Linked DNA regions of Drosophila melanogaster. The gene in region 3 interacts genetically with the main gene of each other region. Each region holds a gene or a part of one and is shown on either strand. Other genes may lie near its edges. The genes, in order: Act5C, klu, ac and Amun.

What was found.
Region 1: of ac (region 3) and Act5C, changing one enhances a phenotype caused by changing the other (phenotypic enhancement), as found in Drosophila melanogaster (one study listed by BioGRID).
Region 2: of ac (region 3) and klu, changing one enhances a phenotype caused by changing the other (phenotypic enhancement), as found in Drosophila melanogaster (one study listed by BioGRID).
Region 4: of ac (region 3) and Amun, changing one suppresses a phenotype caused by changing the other (phenotypic suppression), as found in Drosophila melanogaster (one study listed by BioGRID).

The regions. Positions count from the first base shown.
Region 1 is NC_004354.4:5,898,845-5,906,229, reverse strand, and holds Act5C (actin 5C), read right to left. Parts: upstream 5,370-7,385; 5' UTR 5,217-5,369; intron 4,249-5,216; exon of another isoform or gene 4,134-4,248; intron 3,541-4,133; 5' UTR 3,533-3,540; coding exon 2,402-3,532; 3' UTR 831-2,401; downstream 1-830. Other genes in the region: CG4020 (uncharacterized protein), read right to left, coding at 1-152, 219-273. UniProt on the Drosophila melanogaster protein: Actins are highly conserved proteins that are involved in various types of cell motility and are ubiquitously expressed in all eukaryotic cells.
Region 2 is NT_037436.4:11,005,923-11,010,952, reverse strand, and holds the start of klu (klumpfuss), read left to right. Parts: upstream 1-1,764; 5' UTR 1,765-2,603; intron 2,604-5,030.
Region 3 is NC_004354.4:368,261-371,638, reverse strand, and holds ac (achaete), read right to left. Parts: upstream 1,609-3,378; 5' UTR 1,546-1,608; coding exon 940-1,545; 3' UTR 692-939; downstream 1-691. UniProt on the Drosophila melanogaster protein: AS-C proteins are involved in the determination of the neuronal precursors in the peripheral nervous system and the central nervous system.
Region 4 is NC_004354.4:11,709,252-11,716,852, forward strand, and holds Amun (amun), read right to left. Parts: upstream 5,780-7,601; 5' UTR 5,307-5,779; exon of another isoform or gene 5,224-5,306; intron 5,067-5,223; exon of another isoform or gene 4,989-5,066; intron 4,961-4,988; exon of another isoform or gene 4,771-4,960; intron 4,597-4,770; exon of another isoform or gene 4,558-4,596; 5' UTR 4,504-4,557; exon of another isoform or gene 4,438-4,503; 5' UTR 4,314-4,437; coding exon 3,518-4,313; intron 3,116-3,517; coding exon 2,259-3,115; 3' UTR 869-2,258; downstream 1-868. Other genes in the region: FucT6 (alpha1,6-fucosyltransferase), read right to left, coding at 1-196.

The DNA.
Region 1 (7,385 bases), 5.5 Mb from region 3:
TCTGCGCAGCCGTTCATACAACCTCGATTCCCACTGCAGCTGCAGGCGCTCCTCAATTGTGTGGCCCTTCTTGGGCCGCATCAGCACATAGATGCGGCCCAGTTTTGGACAGGAGCGCAGCAGCTTTTCGATCAGTGCTTTGCCCACGAATCCTGCACAGAGATACCAATACATTCTCTTTAAATCTTTATTCTGCAAAGGCAGTCATAAATACCCACCGGAGGCGCCGGTCACGAATATTTCCTGATCCTCGAAAGCTTCCGGTATGGTCATGGTGGTTCGGTTGTTGGTCTCCCGGGTTTTCGATGTCGTATATCAATCCGCACGTGTCGCTGCTCCAAGTGCTTCTGTGCGAAGTACGGCGGACTCAAGGCGGGAATATTGAAATCCGGCCAATCGCGCTGCTGACCCTTGGCCAAAAGGGATCACATCGCTGAATATTCAGTTGGTAGGCTCATACTTTGTAAGCGTAGAGTGCGATACCCTGTAGATAGTGGGGAAGCAACACATCGCATCATATTCACATAGAAACCGCAGGTATGACCAATCTTAGTCCTAGAATACTATTTTATACTACATATTTCTATATTTTTATTGCTTTACTCTTAATTTGTGATGTTTTTAATGAGACCTACTAATTATTCGAACATTTGGGCATACGAATATCGAAAAAAAACACTAACTACATATGTATTTATGTATGTATTACATATGTATGTATATTTAAACCGCTCAAGGTGCTACGAAATCCGTTGTGAACAAAAAACAAAGGAGAACGTCTAGAACGCAAGAAGAAGAAGATGAACGAGATCAACAAAAACGGAACCGTTGAAACTCAAGAATCAAAGGAGAAAGCACAGAAAGATAACTTTTACCGTAGCATCCGAGCGCCAAATCAAGCAGAGCCCATAATTATACTGGCAGAAATGATATCGAAGTCGAACTAATATATAAGCAATATAATAAAAATGTATTTAAATAATATAATATCTATGTATATTTGTACGTGTAAGTCTATAAAGTAAGTCTATAAATCCCAATTCGCACCACTTTCTTTCCGGTGCACTGCATTGCCCGTGCGAGTCAGAGAAAGATGGAAAGATGGGTGCTCCTCCTCTTTGGCCGCATGAATGGAAAATGTTTGGGAAAAACCGGATAAACGGCGCTTGCAGCCGCTGCTTTTGGCCAAACTGGCGGATGAAACTATGCCAGCGATTTGTGTTAGCGTGTTTGCCTTATTATCTCGACTTTTATTTGGATCTTGGCCATTTAAAACGGCACTTTAATCGCATCATTAGCCCGCATGCGTGCGTGCGTGCGAGCGAGACAGCCGCTTGTCGTCGCAGCCTTAGTTCGTCGACCTCGTGCCCTCTTCCTCTTCACCCTTTTCCGAAGCAACCGTTGCAGTAACGGTTGTTAGACAATACACATGTAGCAAATTGTTCGCTTGTTGTTGTTTCATTTCATCAGTTTTTCAGTTGCATTTTCACATTTTAATTAACATTTTCAGGCGTAAACTTATCAATCGATACGCATGCAATTAGAAAAGTGTACAAATAAAAAAAAAATACATATGTATGTATGCTTGTATGCTTGAATGTGTGTGAATATCGCACGCGAAACTGCAGCCAAGTGTGAGTGTGTGTGGGTTATTATTTTGCCGGCCGGCAAAAATGTGGAAGAGAGACAGACAAAAAGATGAGAGAGGAGAGGGCGAGGTTAGCAGCAGAGAGCGAGGAGAGCGGGAGAAAGAGAAGACAGATTTGATTTTCCTTTTTGTTTTCATATTTTTGTTTCACTTTGTTTATAATTACATCATAATTAAAAAATAATACATAAGGTTGCTGACGAATTGTACAAAACGCTAGTGTGTTGTTTGTGTTTTGCAATGTGTGTGTGTTCTTTTTGCGCTTTGGGAAATATCTTCTTTAAGTTCTTCTTTATCTTGATGTCCTTGTCATGCCGCGAATGTGTGTGTGTAAGCTTGTGGGTGTGCGTGTGTTGGGTGTTGTTGGTGTGTGTGTGGAATGGCAGAATATGCATTTTCGCTCATTTTCATTTTTTGTAGTTCTTGTTATATTAAAGGTTTACAAATAAAAAAAAAACAAAAAATACATAGTATATCATATCATATCTCATGTGGAATAAATTAATTATATTAATACGCTGGAACCACACAACATGCGCCCAAAACGATGATGATAATGATGATGGTGTGCAGGTGGTTCCGCTCTTTTCATCTTGTAGTTGGTGTTGTTGTTGATTTTGTTGTGCTGCACTCCAAACTTCCACCACTCGCACTTGCACTTTCGCTGCTGCTTCCTCGACTTCTCCTCCTCCTCCTCCAGCAGAATCAAGACCATCCCGATCCTGATCCTCTTGCCCAGACAAGCGATCCTTCTTAGAAGCACTTGCGGTGCACAATGGAGGGGCCGGACTCGTCGTACTCCTGCTTGGAGATCCACATCTGCTGGAAGGTGGACAGCGAAGCCAGGATGGAGCCACCGATCCAGACAGAGTACTTGCGCTCTGGCGGGGCAATGATCTTGATCTTCATGGTCGACGGTGCCAGGGCGGTGATCTCCTTCTGCATACGGTCGGCGATGCCAGGGTACATGGTGGTGCCACCGGACAGCACGGTGTTGGCATACAGATCCTTACGGATATCCACATCACACTTCATGATGGAGTTGTAGGTGGTCTCGTGGATGCCGCAAGCCTCCATTCCCAAGAACGAGGGCTGGAACAGGGCCTCGGGGCAGCGGAAACGCTCGTTGCCGATGGTGATCACCTGTCCGTCGGGCAGCTCGTAGGACTTCTCCAACGAGGAGCTGCTGGCAGCGGTGGCCATCTCCTGCTCAAAGTCGAGGGCAACATAGCACAGCTTCTCCTTGATGTCACGGACGATTTCACGCTCAGCGGTGGTGGTGAAAGAGTAACCGCGCTCGGTCAGGATCTTCATCAGGTAGTCGGTCAAATCGCGACCAGCCAGATCCAGACGCAGGATGGCATGGGGAAGGGCATAACCCTCGTAGATGGGCACGGTGTGGGAGACACCATCGCCGGAGTCCAGAACGATACCGGTGGTACGACCGGAGGCGTACAGCGAGAGCACAGCCTGGATGGCCACATACATGGCGGGTGTGTTGAAGGTCTCGAACATGATCTGGGTCATCTTCTCACGGTTGGCCTTGGGGTTCAGCGGGGCCTCGGTCAGCAGCACGGGGTGCTCCTCGGGTGCCACACGCAGCTCATTGTAGAAGGTGTGGTGCCAGATCTTCTCCATATCGTCCCAGTTGGTCACGATACCGTGCTCAATGGGGTACTTCAGGGTGAGGATACCACGCTTGCTCTGCGCCTCATCACCCACGTACGAGTCCTTCTGGCCCATGCCGACCATCACACCCTGGTGACGGGGACGTCCCACAATCGATGGGAAGACGGCGCGGGGAGCATCGTCTCCGGCAAATCCGGCCTTGCACATGCCAGAGCCGTTGTCGACAACCAGAGCAGCAACTTCTTCGTCACACATTTTGTAAGCTGCAATGGAAAGAATGCGGATTTCCCATTAGTTTTTGGTTACCTTATTTGGTAATGTAGAAATGGCAAAAAAAAAACTGAGAATTTGCGTGGTTTCCTTGGACTGCGCTGGTCTACCAAAGTACAATTGTCATAACAAACTAACTTGTTTTTCGTGTACAATTAAAAATCACTCAATGCAATGTACGTTTTTTTAGTACAAAATTTTAATCTTGGACAAAAAAAATTTCATAAAAAAATACTTTTCCGATTGAAAACTGATTTTCACTTGCGATCGAATTGTAATAAGAAATTAAAAGAACAGTTACAAAATAGAAGGCCCCGCCCCGAAAAATTAAAACCACAATACGAATATGCCGAAAAGGGAGGGGAGAAGCTTCTAGACGACACTTAACGAATGCCGGTGCAAAAGAAAGCCGCAAAGAGAGCACAGTTGCCTGTGTGTATGCGCCCTTAAAATGGCGGCTGCCTAAAACTCGAATTGGAACCCGAAATTAACATTACAAAATAAAAAAAAAAAAAAACACTAAACGCACTCTAGAAAATTTAACAATTAAGAGCCACGAAACTTTTCAAAGCTAGTTAAACTTTACCTTTTTGTTCGATTTAACAAATTCAAGGCGTGAAAACTACTGTAAACGCAAGTGGCGAGGCTGAGCTAAGCGACCGCACGGTTTGAAAGGAATGACTGGAATAAACCGACTGAAAGTGGCTGGTGAATGTTGAATGCCAGTTAACTGCGTTTTTCAATCGCTGCCTGCGTCGACGTCGCCATAGGCGTCGCTCGCTCTCGCCATCTCGCTCGCTCCGCGCCATGGTCGCTATGGGTGCGAAGGAGAGCGCTGGTGTGTTGAATTGCGGCGGCCAAGTTTTGTGACCATATATGGTCATGTTTCGAGGCGAAAAGCAAACCGTCGTCTGGCTTTCGCTCTCTCACACACACATACACTCTCTCTCGTTATTTTGCGCGTGAGTGTGTGTATATGAACGAATGCTCGAAGGTTTTCTCCATTTTTGCAACTACAACTTTGAAAAACCGGCAAAAATTTCTGCTTCAGCCAAAACGGCTGCCTACGTCACTATTTTCAAGAACCTGATCTAGTTTTACAGATTATAATATGCATATACTGTATGTATGTACATTTATGGATGATCTGGTGTTTTAGGGCGTGGGAAAAAAAGAAAGTGTTGGCGAATTGATTTGCAATTCGTAATTTGGCATATCTTTGGGTGAAATCGTGACACGCCCACATCAGCGAGCTTGGCTTTAAACACTATATTAGATCCTAACATTTGAGTTGGGGCTATTGAATTGCTTTGGTTTTTATAATTTCGTATAATTTGTATGTATATATCCTGAAATCTGCAGTTGTAATCCTGATTCTTGAGTTATGGTATTTGAAACCCTGGTTTTGTTAATTTTGATGTCTTTCGACCTATTGGTATTTTGATTGACAATTTAGGGCCAAACTTGGGTATTTTTGGAGTTTTGGTCAATACAATAACTCTTTAGCTCGTGGCTAGTATTTTTTGATCACTTTCAGCACTGGCACATAAAAAAATGTTTTGTTTACAAAAAAAATCACACATTTTCCGCGGCTTTTCTCGATTATTGCTTTTTCTTGGTGGGAGTGGTTCGATGGTGTTTTGTTGTTGGGAAGGGGAAAGCTACTTACATTTGGTGTGTTTTATTAAAATTAATTAAATAAATATAAATTAAGTCTTTCGGTTTGGTGTCTCTGGATTAGACGACTGCTGGCTGATGGAGCGGCTTTGTGTCGGGAGGAGTATCCACACAGCACAAGAACTCAAACGGTAGTGATATGAAAACTGGTCCCGCAGCCCGTTTTATAAAGCCCGCTTAGCGCTAAAACCTTATCAGCCGCAATGCTCTCCGCTCTCAAGTCGCGTTCAAAACTTTTACCATATATGGGTATGAATTGTTCGCCGATTGGGTTTTCATTTACGGAGAATTTCCTCCGCAACTGGGTGTTCGTGCTTGTGTGTGTCTTGTATATCGCCATGAAGAGTGTACTTCCATGGGTCCTATCAGTTGCGGCATGTGATTCAATTTGGGGGTTACTCATATTCGATACTTCAGCTGGTTATCTTTATGCTGTGATGGTCACGGTGCTTTTACACATTTTTTCCCCAACTACTCATTGTATGCCAAAACATACATATGTACATGTGTTTATAGTGGGTTTATTAGTAATGTCCAGCGATATTAAAACATTACAGTTAAATAATATTCATATTAGCTTACGTTTACTGCTATCTGCACTTCAAATTGGTTATTCCAGGGACATTTTGTGCAACACACATCTTCTAGTAGGGCATTCACTAGTCGTAGAAAACACACCTAACTTAAGCCGGTTTTAACAATAACGGCGAAACAGCTGCCAGACGAGAGAAAAGTACACAGCAAGAAGCATTTCTATAATGATGCCGTCCTAAATATGCAGCATTTTTGCTCAAATTGATCATTTCGTTGCATCGCTCAGGTGGTATAGTATTTGGCTATTGAATGTGATTGCTATCTTAATAGTTTTGAATAGTAATAGTGCAAATATTCATTCATAAAAAATAGGTAATCGATTTTTTCAGTGCAGTCTATGCGTTTGCGCAACAGAGACGAAGAGAGAGACGCCTCACACACAAGCACATGCGGTCTAAGCTGCTCTCCCTCTTTTTCTCTCTCTCTCTGGCTTGCGGCAGTTTTCCAGAGGCTGTGACTCAGTAAGCATTTCTTGTTGTTACCCTAACGATAAGCGTCCGATTCCTAATTCTCTTTCAAATAATTTGTTTTATTTTTTTTTTTGTGTGTTTTGAAGTCAAACAGCTTCATAAACAATATTAAATATCGCAATTGTTATTGCAAATGCATTCGTATCAGGCGCCTTGATGTTTTTCGCCAAAACTTCGTCTGCTCTTTGTCAGCGTAATTGCGTTTGCCGGTCGTGCCGTCTTGCTCGCACGCGGCTTGCAAACAAAAAGTGAAAGAGGGAAAGCCACCTGTGTTGTTGCTTTTGTTGCTATCGTTGGCTGCACACACATGGCAATAAGTAACCATATTGTAGACTTATTTATTTTAGCGTTTTCGTTGACTAATCTTTGTTTAAATAATTGCCTATTTCGAGCCAAAATGACGCATAAAAGGAAACGGCAACATGCGGTGCGTTGAGCATGCGTAAGCGAGATGGCGCTAGAGAGAGCGCAGCATAAAAAGAAAAAAACAACCGGCGAGTGGCGAGACACGAATAATACACACACGCACACATGGTCAAAGGAGTGGCTCCAACGTCGGTGACGTCGCGCCCAGCCACAGACCCCGCCACGCCCCGCCCCACCCTTCCTTCCGCTGCCCCGCACCCCTTTCCTTCCACTACCGTTTTGCCGCATTTGGTATTGCCATCTCGCTTTTTTGGCTTTACTTTGCTTTTTGAATAAGCCAAGAAACTGAAATCAAAGCGGACAGTCCGAAAATTGAATATTCCAAAAAACAACAATTGCACATGCACTGCGTTCGGCAAAAGACGCAGAAATTCAAGCCTTTTGGTCTGGCATCATCTTAAAATATCATCAGTATCATCATTGCCATTATAAATACATAAGAAAATGAGAATACATTAAAGGTATTTATTTTACAAACGCTTTACTTTATAAAAATACAACTATTATCGGAAAGCAATGCAAAATATGCCACTTAATTCCAGTTCTTTGTCATAGTCAACATATTTTGCAACAAAATTATCTATAGATAACATGTTTTTGTAGAAAATTCCACTAACTGATTTTCGTATAAATACAAATTATTCTCATTCTTCAAAATACTCGCCGACGTC
Region 2 (5,030 bases), on a different chromosome or scaffold from region 3:
ACATACATACATACATACATCTGCATATGAAATATACGTGCATATGTATAATACCAATAAGCATGTGGCATATAACTTATAGCCAAACACCTACGTTCACTTTTGGCTCTTTGCAGTGCTTCTCTTTTTTGAAAGACCCACGAATTTTGTACGAATCGCGTAAACGCGTTTATTTTCCCTGCCCACAATCACACACACACACACTTAGAGATAGTGGTGTGGGTTGAGTATCTGCGTGTGCGTGTGTGTGTGAGTGCGCCACTATTCGTTCATTCACAAATTGTGTTGTTGCTGCCTTGGCATGCTTTTGCTTTGTTTTTTCTTTTTTTTGGTTTTTTCTCAATTCAGTTTTGTTTTGTAAACACACACATACACACCTGGATGGAGGCGCACACAGATACACTGACACCTCGGCAGCTGCGCCACACACACAACCGCACACACGGTGTGCAAAGAGAGAGAGAGCGCGCTCTCTCTCTCTCTCGTGCATCGGCATTTCAAGTTCAGATATCGTATCTGTGAAGTTGTTTTGCCGGCATTTCGATTCTCACGAGCGCAGAGAGAGAGACCGAAACTGTATCTGTGTGCGAGCGAAACGTGTGTGTGGTATAGGTGAGAGAGTTTATCCGACGATTTTATCCGGGCCTTCAATGCGGCTCAAAATCAGTCAACTGCGATTTTCTTATAATGCAAGTTGGCTTATATGCATGTTAGACAAAAATAACTTCATGGGTACAAATGAAAGTCTAAAATTAAACAAATATATATTTTAGATCATTTTGTAGCGCTTTAATTTTTTTGCGAAGTTAAACAAAAAAGAGTTCCAATTAAGAATATTATATTATTTTTAAAAGAAAATAAGTTCAAAGCCAAGAATTATTAAAAACTAGACTAATTAAATTTCAATCAAAAAGTATTGAATTTACATTTTTGCTTTAGAGAATGTTTGAGTTTTAAACTGTAACTAAAAACGCTGCTATTACTATTTGTAAAACATTTTAATAAATTATATATTTGAAATTGTTTTGTAATTGTTTCTAAGATTAGAAGGCCCTTAAAGTCGATAAAGTACTAAACGCATAAATCAAAATTTTTTGGCTTCTGAGCAATGTAAGTTTAGTTTAGTTTAGAACTCAAATGAAAATGAAATGCTGTATTAAGAAGAAAGGGCTCAATTAAGTGACATATATTGCTCGAAGGATGCGAAAAGTGACCTAAAAGCCGGCCAACTTCCCAAAGGATTCAACGAGCGCTGCTTCTATTTGCCTTCGCCTTCTGCAAGACAGTGGAAAAGACATCCGCTTGGATTCGGATTTCGTTAGCTTATCTTCGCATTCGATGTTATATAACGCCAGTCGGTGGAAGTGGGAGGTGCCTATTCGGAGCTCGACTCGCAACTGGCGACCCAAAAGCGCCAAATGCAGCCGAGTGCCCCCATTGGCATAGAGTTTTGAGCAATTAGAAGCCCACGCAGCCATAAACAACAACTGCTCGGGCGGGCGGAGAGTGGGAGGAGAAGCTCTTCGAGCAGCTCCCACCGAGAAAAGCGGAACACAAAAAAAAAAAAAAGAACTAGAGAAATCTCCACTGCACGTGCTGCTCTTTCTCGCTCTCTCGCGACTTTATCCGGCGAATGAGAGGCCAACAGTCGGCACTAACACACAGATACCGCCGCCTGTTTGCCTCGGTGTGGGTGTCTCTCGGTGCGATGGTATTGGTGCCTGGTATCGTCGCTGTACGAGTGGCGACTCTACTCAGAAGTCAGTTTCTTGCTGGGCAGTGTCGGTTCAGGTTCATCGACGCTCCGCACGCGCTGCCGCAAATTCTTCAGTGCTGAATAACCAAGACGCGTCTTTTTCGGACCCAAAAAAAAAGAAAAATATATAGAAAATATATCCGAACGTAACGTAATCTTCGCAGTGCGCTTACAGACTCCCCCTCCAACCCGCCACACAAAAAACTCTCTTTCTCTCTCTCTCCGCGAAGAGAGTTTCAGTGGTTGGTTTGGATAGGTCTTGGTGGTTCGGTGTTGCCGTCGCTGCTGCCGAAGCTCTGCCGACGCCGACGACGACGCCACGTCGGGAAAACCAACCTCTTGCAGTGAAAATCTTTTCGTACGTTTTCGTTATTTGTTATTCGCACGTTGACGCGACGAGACCGCGAAACACGACAGCACGAAACTGCAGCCCAAAACTGCAACTGCAACTGCAACTGCAACAATAACGATCGCGCGTGCAACAACAGCAATTCGAAATCTAATAGTGGCAAGCTGCAAAGTATCTAAACGCCTAGAAATCCGTAAACTAAACTCGCCAAATCATTTAAAATCAAGTGAAAAGTGTGTGTCTTAACAGCCCATTAAGTAATATAAATCAATTAAAGCCGCAAAACACACAATAAGCCAAACACGCAAACGCAGCATAAGCACAAATAATACATAAAAATAAAAGAAGTGTGATATTTTGATATTAGCAATTAGAGTTTACACAACGCAGCCTAAAAAATATTTGTTAAATGTGTTTTGCCACCCCGAAGGCAAAAGCTACAAATTGGATAATGCTTGGATAATTCCCCTCCTACAAAAAAAAAAAAAAAAATTAAAGGTGAGTTCGCGAGATCGCTCAATTTGCCGACGGCTTAGTCATTTGGACAGCCGAAAGAAAAAAAACTATAAAGTGCCATCTCAGCTGTGCTGTTTGGTTGGTCGAAATGTGTCAAAAGCTGAGCTCCAGTTACGAATAGGATCGGTTTACCATAACACTCAGCGTAATATCAGATCGGCGGCTATATGCTATATACATATGTACATATGTATGTGTGTGCTGCAATCGATTGCACCCATGAATGATGGACTGATGATGAGTCCATATCAGCACGGGCCCCCTCCAGTGGCATCATCCACATCATCATCATCATCATCATCATCATCATCCCAATCTCATCTCACTCCCATGCCATATTGACTCTATCTATATTGACGTCAATCGCAGCAGCAACTTGACATCGCCGATCTGCAGATCGTGTGCCTGGCAAATTGACGCACACAAAAGCGAGTGAGATAGAGAGCCTGGTAGAAAGATAGTACTAGGACCCTTAGCCCCAGTTTCCTCACATCCAGTTGCAGCTCCAGATTCCCACTTCCAGTTTTAGCCAGTCTCGGGGAATTTTAATTGCCCATCTTGGCCAAAAGCAGAGCTGGGCTGCACTCCCTCTCTCTATCTCTCTCTCTCTCTCTCTCTATGTGAACTATGCCAATTGTCTACACCTGAGCCGAAGAACTGCCCGTCTGGCTGACAAATTTGTATGCACGCGCTTCAAAAGTGCAATATTAATTAATTCCAGCAACTCGAGACACGGGCAGCAACAACATCAACTGATCTGTATGCAACAGAAGTTGCAAGTTGCTAGTTGCTAGTTGCTTGTTGCAAGTTGCTGGTTGCTAGCGGTTGCTACTTAGTCGAGGCAATTAAATCGTATGTCATTCATTGGTAATTTATACCATTTACAGGCATCTGCTCGATGTGGTTGGTTCCTTAAACAACAGTTCTGCGATAATAGCTCCGCGATGTTTTACACTTGCCCATTAGCATAGATTACTGCATCAAGTGCTGGACCAAAATCCGTTTGCTTTGCTTTTGACCTGTCTGGCAAACGCCAAACGCCAATAGCCACAACGCTTGATCGATCGCTCTAAACCGATTTCGATTCCGATCCGATCCGATCCGATCGGCGATAAATGCAACTTGCCATGAAAAGTGCTGCCTTAAATGGGCATTAGGCTATTGCACATTTCTCAATATGTCGAGTGATTTTTTCTCTGCTCCTCCAACGCGGCTGACTTATACGCACCGCACCTTATATGACGAACGGCGACGTCTGCCGCTGTCCCACTGCATTTGGCATATAAAACAGACGGAGCCACTCGGTGGCTTCCATCGGTGGTGCAGTTGGGGGGCAATGGTGGCGATGGTGTCTCAGGTGGTTCGCTGGTTGGAGTCTCACCCGCACGACGCCATTTCTCAGACCCCGATGTCAATGGCAATTTGCATTTTCCACACAAAAGCACCTAGGTGCTCCTGGTGGCGGCTCCCTTCCCTAGAAACAGGGCGGAATAAAAAAAAAAAAAGAAAATAACGCCATATATACTGTGTTTGGTCGAGTTAAGGTCCCTGGTTCAGTGGTTAATTTATTTCTGACACAGCCTTAAATTAACAATTTTAATACAAACAACAAAAGAGCGCGCATTGAAATTGAGACGTTGAGCGAAATACAAAAAAAAAACACAAAAAAACTCAGAAAAAATACAAAATAAAATAAAAAACAGTGAAAATGCACACAATAAAGGGAAAAAAAACAAAAAGCTTAAAAGGAAAAAACATAAAATAAATTTACAGCAAAACAAAAGCGTGTTACAGAACAAAGGAGACGATTTTGGGGAGCAGTGAAAGAGGAATGTGTAAAGTGAAATAAAATTCTGGCGCGTTAATTAACTTTAAACGATTGAAAACGAATTGATTTGGAGAAGCCATTTGATTTGGATTAGTCGTGCCCGATTCAGAAAAAATGCCACAAAAGGTTGTGGAGGTGGACCCCCAGCTCAAAGGGGTCACAGCTTTTGGCCAAGCTGCTGGGCTGAAAATTAAAATTCAATCATCACGTGTGCGTTAAAAGAGACACACCATCGGCCATCTAACAATCAGACAGATCATTGGAGTTGTTAATTGAAATGCGTTAAACAATAAAACAAAGACTGTCATGTCTGTCACAGTTGCCAAGTGACTTAACACCTTTGGGATCTGCGGTTAATGCCGATCCCCGACAACGGTGTGGATACTTCGACATCTGATAGGGCCACATCGGAATCGGAACCCTGGACATGCGTCGTTATCATGCATTTGATAAACGTTTTGTTTTTCATTAGAGCCTCGCCGCGGAGGAGGAGATATCAAAGATGCGCTCCTATCCGATCACAACCCTTTAATTAGCAGGGAGTTCAGCTCTGGTTTCTTGGAACCTAAGATCTAAATATT
Region 3 (3,378 bases):
AGACCCATGAACCATGTTTCTTTTGTTTTTAGAGTATATGTATCTTGCGTGAGTTTTTTTTGCAGCAGCTTCATCGCGGCGGCTTCCGGTGCAGAATGCCTGAGCAGATCTTATTTTCATTTTTCTGAACGTTGTCGGGGGCGATCTGAACAATTGCCGACCGTTGTTTTTTCGCTTGTTTCGGCTGCATTGCGGGAATAACTCAAAATTAGTTCATTCATCGATCGATCGATCGATCTCTCCGGAATTGTGAATTCTCAGGATCTTATTACCTTGACCGGTTCATATGCAAAAATGCAGCAGGTAAATATTTTGCCTTTTTCACCCTACTCAATCCAACTTTATTTATGCAAATCGGCGTTTTCGATCAAAAGTGTTTACAAAATGTTATTGTAATTTATCTTCATTGGCTAGTGATCTGTAAATACTTAACGGTTACAGTTTCGAATACTTTTTTCGGGCTTACCCCGAATAAAGCGTATACTAGGATCGTTTAAAGGAATGTACCAGGTAAAAGGAAGCGTGTCCTGTGGTATACAGGACAGGATCAAGTTTGTATCAAAACATTGCTACGCCCATATTCATAAAGCATTTGTTCATTAAAACTTTTCTGAATTTTACTCCTTTTGTACATAAATTTGTTTCACTTTAATTACCGTTTAATTTTGTTTACAATAAAAACTCATTTAAAATTTTATATATATCAGTTTAATGTCCTCAATGTATGCTATAAAAAAAAACTTAAATATAAATTGTCTTCCATTAGAAACTATCCTTAGAAACTATATAAAACCTTAAATACTAATTTATAAGGCAAAAAGGTAGTTCTAGGGAATATAAATACTTTGTGGCTGAGGTAATACTTGTTGGCCAATCAATGGTTTGATGTGTGTTATGGTTGGGTGCGACTAGCAATAGCTGAAGATTTGATCTGTTTTTTTACAGGTCGTCCTGCCAGAGTGATATATAGTCGAGGATGTCCTCATCTTCAGTACCAGAACTGCAGGAATTGTTACGGTAGTCTTCAAAACTGGCTTCCAACTTGGTATGAAAATTGTTAGGAGGTGTTGCTCCCGGAATCGTCGATGTTGCTGGCTTGCAATAAGAGCTAATGCTGTTGCAGGAACTTGTGCTGCCAGTTGGAGATTGCAACTGCAACTCTTGGTGCCAGGCGTATAAGTGTTGATGCTGTTGCTGCTGCTGAAAGTGCAAATGTTGCTGCTGCAAATGCAACTGTTTCTGTTTCTGCTGGTCGTTTTCATGAAGAACTTTCTGCAAGCGCCGTATGTACTCTACTGCCATTTTCAGTGTGCTAACTTTGCTCAGTTTTTTATTGGCGCCGGGACCAATTCCCCGGCGACCATTGCTTAAATCGGCTATTACGGCCGCAGGGATATGTTGTCGTAGTTGGCTGAAGCCATTGTTGACCTGCTTTACGCGGTTGCGTTCCCGGGCATTTCTCCGGATAACAGAGGGTCCATTAAAGGCCGAAGATGACTCCTCGTCGTCGTTGAAAACAGAGTGATTTTCGCTGCCCAAAGCCATTTTAAGAGATAGTATAACGTTATTGTGTGACGATGCTCCTTGCTTCAGCGCTGGCTCTGTTCTGATGCCCTTCCCCGTTCCGTTCAGGCTATTTATAGGTATCAGGGCCTAGGGATCCCACCTGCGTGACTACCTACCTGCCCCTGGAAAAGGTGCAACAGCATCATCACTGAAGGATCGTCTCTTGAGATGAGTGTTTTCTCTGATTTTAATAGAGAGGTAGTAATATTATCTCTCGTTCTCTCTGTAAAACGCAGCTGTTGGTGACCTGAGTGTTCCCGTTGTCGAGTGGGAAGAGTTTCTGAGTGTTTTTGCTCATTTTCAGCTGCCTGTCGTCCCCAAACGAAAACCTGGCCCTGTCGCGTGCCGGCTGCCAACCGGTTTAAAAAGGCAACAAGGTCCAGACATCAGAGCCAAGTAAAAACACCTCCGAAGTAAAAAGCTGTATCTCCTATTGAAAGTGGCCATCCAATTTGTATAACTAACAAAATACAACAAAATTAGTGGAATAGACTGTCATTACAATTATAAAAATGGGGACATTTACAATTTATACACTACCAAAAGTGTTTACGAAAAAATAATCTTTAATTAACAAGGCTAGGTATTTTAGACTTTTAAAAAATCTTTAATTTTATGTTAATACATTTAATTTAATTTATTTTATGTACTGATGACCTTCCGATCCCTGGATCATTCGGACATTATCTTAAACACTAGACCATTGTCGCTCGAATCCAAAGTCGTAGGAATTTTCAAGGCCAGCTCATCAACACCTCAGGCGGCGATCCATTCGGTCCTGCAACGAAACCTGATCAGCCGGAGGCACTTTTCTATTAACACTTCTAATGCCCCGGGGCCTTTATGCCCAACGTATCAGTTGTTGTTCCTCTCAGCCGAAAGCATTTTGAAAGCATTTAGGAGGTCCCCATTATTTCTTAAAACCATTGTCAGAATTCTGGTTGCACGCTAGGAAACCGTGCCGAAATAGATTTGTATTGGCACTAACTCACACTGAGCCTCGTTTAACACTTCGTTGCTGTAGCCCCGGGGGATTGCATAGCATTACATGTGAAAAGGACATCACAGGGCATCTAAGCACAGACATACCAGATGTCCAGAGGCTAATAAAATCAAACATATCCGGTCGACCTTGCAAAATCCGTGTTGATGTAATATAAATTTGCCGCGAAGCATTGAGACAAGGTATTCAGTGTCAACCAGGTTTATGAATTTGCAATTTTATTATTATTTTTTGCTTTGAATATCGCTTAGCGCCACAAGTGCTCTTCTTGAGCTTTTCTGCTTGATAACGACTAAATAGTACAATAAATGTTACTAAGACCCTGCGACAGAAAACCGAAAAATCGTGACGGGATAAACTTAAGGGGGGAAGAACTGAGATCTGAATATATGGCGTATCAACCGAATAAAGATGAAGTCGTCATTAATATTGACTCGGTCTGCCGATTACTTGACGTTGTTTCATTTATTCCACACTTCTTAAAGCGGCATGCTTGCGACACAGTAAGGCCTCGATTACAGGACAGCTTCCGTACATTTCAGTACCAATGTTGATCGTACAGGTATTCTAGCCGATAAATGAAAAGTATGTACAAAGTATGTACTCATGTTTATTAGGGTCTTCAAAATTGGGAGCTTAGAACTGTAGAGCCTACGCCTAGGTGCCATTGAATTAAATGTTGCTGCTGAATAAATAAAAAGTCAACTGTCAACTGTTCATGGCCATCAAATTGCCATCCAGAGATTACCGATCTCCGGACGATGAAAGGACGAAAGCCGCCCATGGTTTTGGTTTTGAGTCCCCCAACT
Region 4 (7,601 bases), about 11 Mb from region 3:
TGTGCTCCAGCATCTGGAGCGCCTGTGATATGCGACGGGCGTTCAGCTCACTCTCCCCGGCCGCCTGCTGGCCCTGAGTATTGGTCAGCTTGACCACGAACACGTAGACCAACCCGATCCAGGCCAGTACGAATATGATGAGGGCGCGTGCCCAGGAGTTGGCCGAAGCCCCGAATAGCTGACGCACCAGCAGCATGCCGGCGTTTCCACTGCTGCTCCTGCTCCTCCTCCTCCTCTGGATTCTGCCCTCCGCTCGCCGGGACCACAATCGATCTTCCAGGGGATCAAGGAACGGGGCTCCGAACGGGGGCGGACTCGGAAATGCTCTCTACGTGTACTTCAATGCGGAGCTGTTTCGATTCCGGTGCATAGTCTCAATTAACTCCGATCCGGCCAGCAACCAAGGCGATCCAATGACATGGTCGGCGGGGCTAGGATTCCTCTTCGATTTATAGATATTTTATAAAGGATATATGGACGTATGGGATGGTGGCCAGCTGGAATGCAAGTTTCACGGAGCTCGATCAATGCCAGAATGAAATTGACTGATGGGCCGGTGGTCTATATCGCCGATCGAGTTGGCCAGGTAGTCGTGGCAAGTCAAATTAAGTGCAAAAGTATTCTATATATTTCCGTCCTGTTCTGTGTTTTCTTTTGATTAGCACTAGAGCTGTGTTGTTAGCACACCATGCTATCGATGCATAGACATCGATACATCTGCCCACTTGAAGAGCGTTGCCATATTCGGACGAGCCATTACATTATTTTCGATAAGTCGATGACTAGTTCCAACGGCTCTCGATGTAACGCCTATTCAAACACCAAATGCAAAAACCCCATTGAAGTGATAAAACAATTGAAGATGATTGTGGGATGTTTTCAGTTTTATGCCGTGTTTTCTTAATATTTCACATTTTATTCGCACTTATGCTACTAATAATAAAAATGATTATAATTTTCAGATGTGTTGTTACTTTCAAAGTTCCGACCGATCTGCGAGTGGTATGGGTCGTGGATATCGGGGAAACCACCCGGTACCGGCAACCCAAACCACGCGGAGATCGGACGACCTGCGTCGGGTGCAATTAAGATGCGGGCCGTATGCTTCCGTATCTTCTTTTTTCTCTTTTGGAAATCAAATGAAACGTGATTATCGTATAAATTATAAAAAATTCAGTATATGTAAAGTTAAAAAAAAGTTTTACACATAATATAAATTATATTATTATAATTACGACCACAAAAATTTCTTAGTGTTGAAATGAGTTTTGTTTTGTTTTGTTTCTTCCGAGTGTTTGTGTGTTTATGTGTGTGGGGAGGGGGTGTATTCTGTGTGCGGCGTGTTTTGAGTGAGAGAGATAGAGAGAGAGCGCGAGTTGCTGCGGGTCGACGGTCGAAGGGGGTGGTGGTGGAGTTGGTGGTGGGGGGCTTGGTTTATACGACAAGTTTTGATTTATTATTAAATTTAAATACCTATGTATATAAATTACGTTTCTGTTTATTATAATTATTGTTGTTTCCATCTTAATCATTTTGTTTTCTTTCGCTTTTTATTTTTCATATTTTTTTTTTGTTTTTTGTATGTAGTGGGCAACTGCGGCATTTGTAAATTTCTTTATATTTAAATGTTCCTTTTGACTGTGTAAAAATATCGATTTCCATCTGATCTTGTTTTGTAGTTACTATTCATGTATGCATTTGCTTTTCGTTTTAGTTAAATTACGTTAACGCTGCATTCTGAACTCTCTGTTGCTGCTGATTCTGCTGCTTGTTCTTCGGATTCTTGATCGGATTCTTCTGATTCTTCATCTTGGCGCGCTTTCTATGCTATTGAAATGTTGTTTGTGGTGCTGCTTACTGCCTTCTGGATCGGGATCCTATATTCCGCTCTGATCTGATCGGTTATGTTCATGTTATGTCGGGTTGTGTGTGTCTGTGTTGTGTGTATGAGAGTGGAGTGTGTTGGGTGTTCGCATCTCGTTATATGTTGTATATATATATATATATATGTGTATATATATATATATATAATATATTATATGTATGTATAGTTAGTTGCTTAATAGTAGAATTTCTTGAATGTTGTTGTGGTAAAGTGTAGGTAATGTTGCTCTATGTCTCTATGTCGACTCAACTGCACTACATACATATGTCTTTCCACCGGATACGCGGCGAACCGAAACGTGCCGAGCCGAACCGATCCCCGTTTCTGACCCGCATCCGCATCCGTATCCGTATTTCGTTTCCTCACCTCCGCCTCATTCGCTGCGCAGTTTCTTTAGATCCGGTGACTTCTCCCCCACGCCCACACCCACTCCGCCGGCGTTCTTCAGCTCCATATCGCAGTGCAGGGCAGTACGCTTCTGTCCAATGGCTGGTGCCGAGTCTGCACCCGCTGCTACCGGTGAAACCGCATCCACCGCCTTGTTCGCCGCCAGCTGCTGCAGTTTACTGTCCCTCACAATGCCGTTGCTGCTATTGCTCTCGTCAGCCTCTAGCTCCGCCTCATTATCCTCCTCCTCGTCCAGCTCATCTTCCTCCTCGTCCTCCGCCTCATCCTCATCCTCGTCGCCCAGGACGCCGTTCCCGTTACCATTTCCATTGGCTGGTGCTGCAGTCGCTTTGCTGGCTGGCTGTGGTGCTGCTGTAACCGCTTCCTCTTCTGCCAAAGGAGCAGGCTGACCGTTGTTGGTGATCGAATTGTTAGTTTTGTGGGGCTGGCTCGGCGACTGCTTTTGATTCTGATTCTGGCTCGAGTGCTGTGTGGGAGTCAGGATGGGCAGGCTGTTGGTCTTGGGCGGCGCCTCCTGATTGCTTTCAGAGTCCGAGGCGAGCGGTGTTCCACTCGAACCGATGCCAATGCCAATGTCTAGGGCGATGGGCTCACCGTCCTCTGTGGAAGTGGTGGCCGTTGTCTGTGTGGTGCCATCGTTGTCATCGATGATCGGCTCCTGGGAGGTGGAATCGTTCGAAACAAAGTTGGAGTCACCGTCCTGCAGGGCGGCGCCAACGGCAGCTGCGTTGTTCTTGGCCTCGCCCGACTGTAGAGGCGTCAGAGCAGCCGGGTTGGTGTTCTCATTCTCTGTCTCCGATTCTGTAGCAGTGTTGCGACCGCCTGGGGGATAGAAAGCATTGGATTAGCCATCAATGGTCAATTTGTTAACTCGGCGAACTGCGGTCAGAGTAATCAAACAAAGAAACTCTGTGTTTGAAATTATTAGACATCCTAACACTTTTGAAAAGCTGCCAACAAGTATAAGCTACTGATAATATGTTAAAAGTTAACTATTTTACAGTAGTAACTTTACAATTCCTCCTTTTTATTTAACATGACGCCACGAGTAACGAATAAATTGTAAATTGTAAATTGACCACTAGGCTACTACAAACATAATGTTTAATGGAAAATTCCGGATAGGAAAAATACTTGGTTTCTGGAAAAGACCACTCGGTTTGAGTGTTTTGTTGCAAGGGTGTATACTCAAGCCGCAGTTATCGGATCATCTTAGCTGCTTACCTGCTCCTTGGCTTTCGTCGTCCAAATCAACACCCACACCATCGTTGGTATCGTCGCCATCGAGCACCTTGCTGCTGTTGCCGTTTGTGCTGAGTGAACCGGTGCCAGTGGAGGCGCCGGATCCAGGCGGCGGCATATCGTCGAGCATCTCGGGACTGAGATCATTGGCCACATAGTGTGACCAGAGGGCCAGCTCCACGCGATGAGGCGACCAGTGCGGCGTATCCCCGCCCACCTCCGCATTGAGGCGCTCCACGGTGGCCTGAATGTGATTGACGAAGTTGAGGTACTCCTTGGTGGTGTAATCGATGCCCTCGATCTCTGGTATGGCCATCAGGCACTCGTCGGCCATGAATGGTGCCGAATCGGGAGCTGCGGCTGCCAGCAGTGCACTGGCCATTGTGGTGCCAACGCCCTTGAGGTTCGATAAAGCTGTGATCGCCTGCTCCAGATTGGGCAGCTTGCGGAAGGCCTTCTTTGTCTCCTGGATGACGGCGCGCGGTGTGTTGACCTTGACCAGGTAGGATAGCTGCGGATAGAATTTGCCGCGCGACTGCTTCCACTTCATCGACTGGACGAGCTCATCGTATACCATATGCGCGTCCTTGCCGCGTGCCTTAATCAATTTGGGCAGTTCATTCTGATACCACTGATCCAGGCGGATCAGCTCTTGCGGCTTCTTGCAGCGCTTCTCGGCCTTTAGCTTAAGAACCTGGGGATAGAGCTGGTAGCAGTACTCGAACTGTTTGGTGCTCCCGGTCTCGAAGAACGAGACCGTCGCCTTGCCGTTGGACATCTTCTGCGGATGCGGATGTGTCGTTGTCGCCTGCTAATGATTGGTGGTATCGCTGTATCTCCTTATCGTGGTATCTATCGCCTTGGGGCCCAGGACGTTGGCTGATCCGCAAGTGACCGGCTGGCTATATATGCGGCAATATATGTACTTTGGTGTAAGCTACTATACGCCAAATCAATTTATTGCTTACTGTTTAGTCTCCTGCTTTTCCTGTCCGTTCCGAGCTGCTCCTGTCAACGTACTGCTATTCGTGCGTTGAGAGTTCCCGGCGAGAAAGAAGCGAGTACGTGAGAGACAGAGAGAATGCGAGTGCGAGAGAGGGAGCACGAAGAAGCAGCAACGCAAAGGAGAGTGGATGAAAAGAGAAGAAAAGAGGCACACAATTAGGTTTACAGTTACGATTACATATGCAAGGGGGATCGGTGCGGTGGCATAGGGAGGTAGTTCGATTGATTACTGTTAATGCTGCTGCTGCTGCGGCCGTGTCTCTGTTGTTTGTTGTATTTACTCAATCCGATAATCGCTCACTATTTGCCAAAAATCTGCTCGCTTCCGCCGCCGTTTGCACAGCACACAAATCGAATTTTTACAGTGCTGTCGTCGGGTTCTTTTTAGTCCGCCATGCACTCACACAGTCAAACTGACAGGCACACGGATGGACACACACACACTTACTCAGCACACTCGCTCTCGCACACCCAAAGAGAGCCAGGCGCTCATACACAGGCAAAAACACGCACACAACACACACACTGACTTAAACACGCACACACTTATATACTGAGGCAACAACAGCAGCAGCAGAAAATTTCTTTTTCATCTAGGTTTTCAAAAAAAATACGAACGCGAGCATTAAATAAACGAATGCTACTATTTTTCGCTGTTGTTGTTGTTTGTGCTTTTTTCGTACCTCTTGTCTTTTTGGCAAACGGTGAGAACAGCTTTTCACTAGCGCACTGCACGCACACAGATGAGTGGGTGAACAACAAATACCTTTTAGTTAGTCGCCGCCAGTCTTCCTTTCCGTCCACATCCAAACAACTACTCCAATGCTTTGCTGTTTTTCTGTGTTGCCTCTGCTTTGCTTTGCTTCGCTTCGCCTCTGTGCTTGTGCTGTGCTGCGTGCTTCGTGCTGTGCCCGTGCTGTGCTGCTTCTTCTTCTTCCTCTGCTGTTTCAGTTTCTGCTTTCTGCCTGCAGGGGCGCCGTTGACAACTGACAAATAAAAAGGGGTTACTCTGTTCTCGAAATGAGCACGCCACCGAAGGCACAACAAAAAATTAAAAAGGATCGGAGCGGAGCGATGCAGCTGTGCGATGTGCTGCTAACTCGTGTGACGGGAATTGGGAATTGGGATTGCGAATGGGAATGGGAGGGAATACGAGAAGCGAATATGGGAATGACGAACGACGACGAACCGGGAACAGGAGTTGTCGTTCTATCTCGCCCGCACTCGGTGCCCGAATGTATCTGTATCTCTCTGGCACCCTCGGCGTTCCATTTCATTTTGCCGGCGACGTCCGTGCTCTCTGCCGCCGCTCTGCCATCGCCTCTGCCGCTGCGTTTATGCGCAGTGCGTCATTACACGAATACCTGTTTAAAGCGGAGGCATAAACGCGGCTTTGTCGATCAACATCCATGTTACCGAAACCCATGTTCGAGTTATAGAAACTTCGAGTAACAAATATCTATATTCTAGCAATGTTTACCCTTATTAGCTTAGTTAGTGCAATTATGTTTCATGTTTTTACAAACAGCAGAATGTTTTTAACAATAGTTATCTCTATATTCAGGTCCTTCAATTAAATCAAAAAGGAATGGGTTTTGTGAGTGGGTTGGGCTCCAGTGAGACTTGTTAATAATTTAAGAATTCGCGATATTCTAGTGTAAACAGCGCGTCACTGCATGTTCGCTGCTTTTGTTGTGCCAGTTGCCAGCGACAGCGGCGTCGTGTCATTATTCATATTCATGAGGGGGTGCGTCAGGTTTGCTGAATTTTACTGACTTGTTTGCGCGAACCGAAATTATTTATGGTTCAGCACGAAGAGCGATAGAAATTCATGCATATGTTGTTGGTTGGTTAAAAAGTTGCCCTTACATGCAGTTAAGTGCATATAATTTGTCTACTTGCGCATTTATTAAAAATGCATACATATTAAATAATGTACTTAATTACTCAGCGGTTTGAGGGTTGGAGCATTTACAGATGACACTGTAGTGATCAAATGGTAGCTATACATGTATAAATATCTAAAATATTACAAAACTATTCCAGCGTTCAAGCATTAACTAATTCGAGAACAGCTGCTGGTTCCATAATCGAGTACACACGTGTGCTACTCAAAGTCTAAGCTGAGAGAGCGGTCGAGCGGCAACTTGATATTTAAAAAACAGAACCCTACTTAACAGTCGACTCAAGTTCGATCCCCCCGCAGGTACGCCCCTCAGTTCACCTATCGCTCGTTTGCCTTTGCCGCCATCATTCGCTGTTGCCGTTTTTACCCTATTCGTCGAGCAACATACATAGCAGCTGCAATTTTGCTGTTTCTGTTTGTGGCTTCCATGTGCCTGCCATTCGTTCATTATACCCTTGTATAGAGCATTATCACTTTTTCAGATAGCGGCAATCCTATCTAATACATTATCAATATGATCAATTATATGGTTTCATATGTACTTCAGTGCGATTGGCTTTCCAATTTGATGATCTACTGAAATAAGCTTTTATCAATTGCTGCAAAATCGATCAAGCGAAATTTAATTTATTAGAAAATATTCCACTATAGAGCATCAAAACGTCGGCTAGACCCAGATAGCTTCCTTTTCTCGCGGCGATATGCGTGCGATATATCGCATCGATACTCGATGCGGATGCCCATCTGTTTTGCGACATTTTCCCGCTTTCCCTGTTGCAAAACCCGTTTTTCGAATTATAAATTCGAGTATTTTTTAAAACTTATAATGATTCATTTTCTAAAATCCCCACTGGAGAGCGACATTCGAATTCGTAGTGGTTGAATTTGTATTCTCTCTTTGCCATGACACAGCTGTATGTATTAATCATTCGGTATACAAGCAACTTTTTCGCACAGGCCCCTTTCCAAATCAACTACGTCTCTGTGTGTGCGACTCGCTCGTTTTTGTATTTTGCCATTCTCGCTGTTCACGCACCAATACACACAAGTGGTTGTTCAAAGTTGCCAGATTAACCTTTTACCGGTGCCAGACTGTTTTAAACTTGAAGAGGATGATGTACTTGTACTTATATATTTTTTGTGACTAAAAATTAA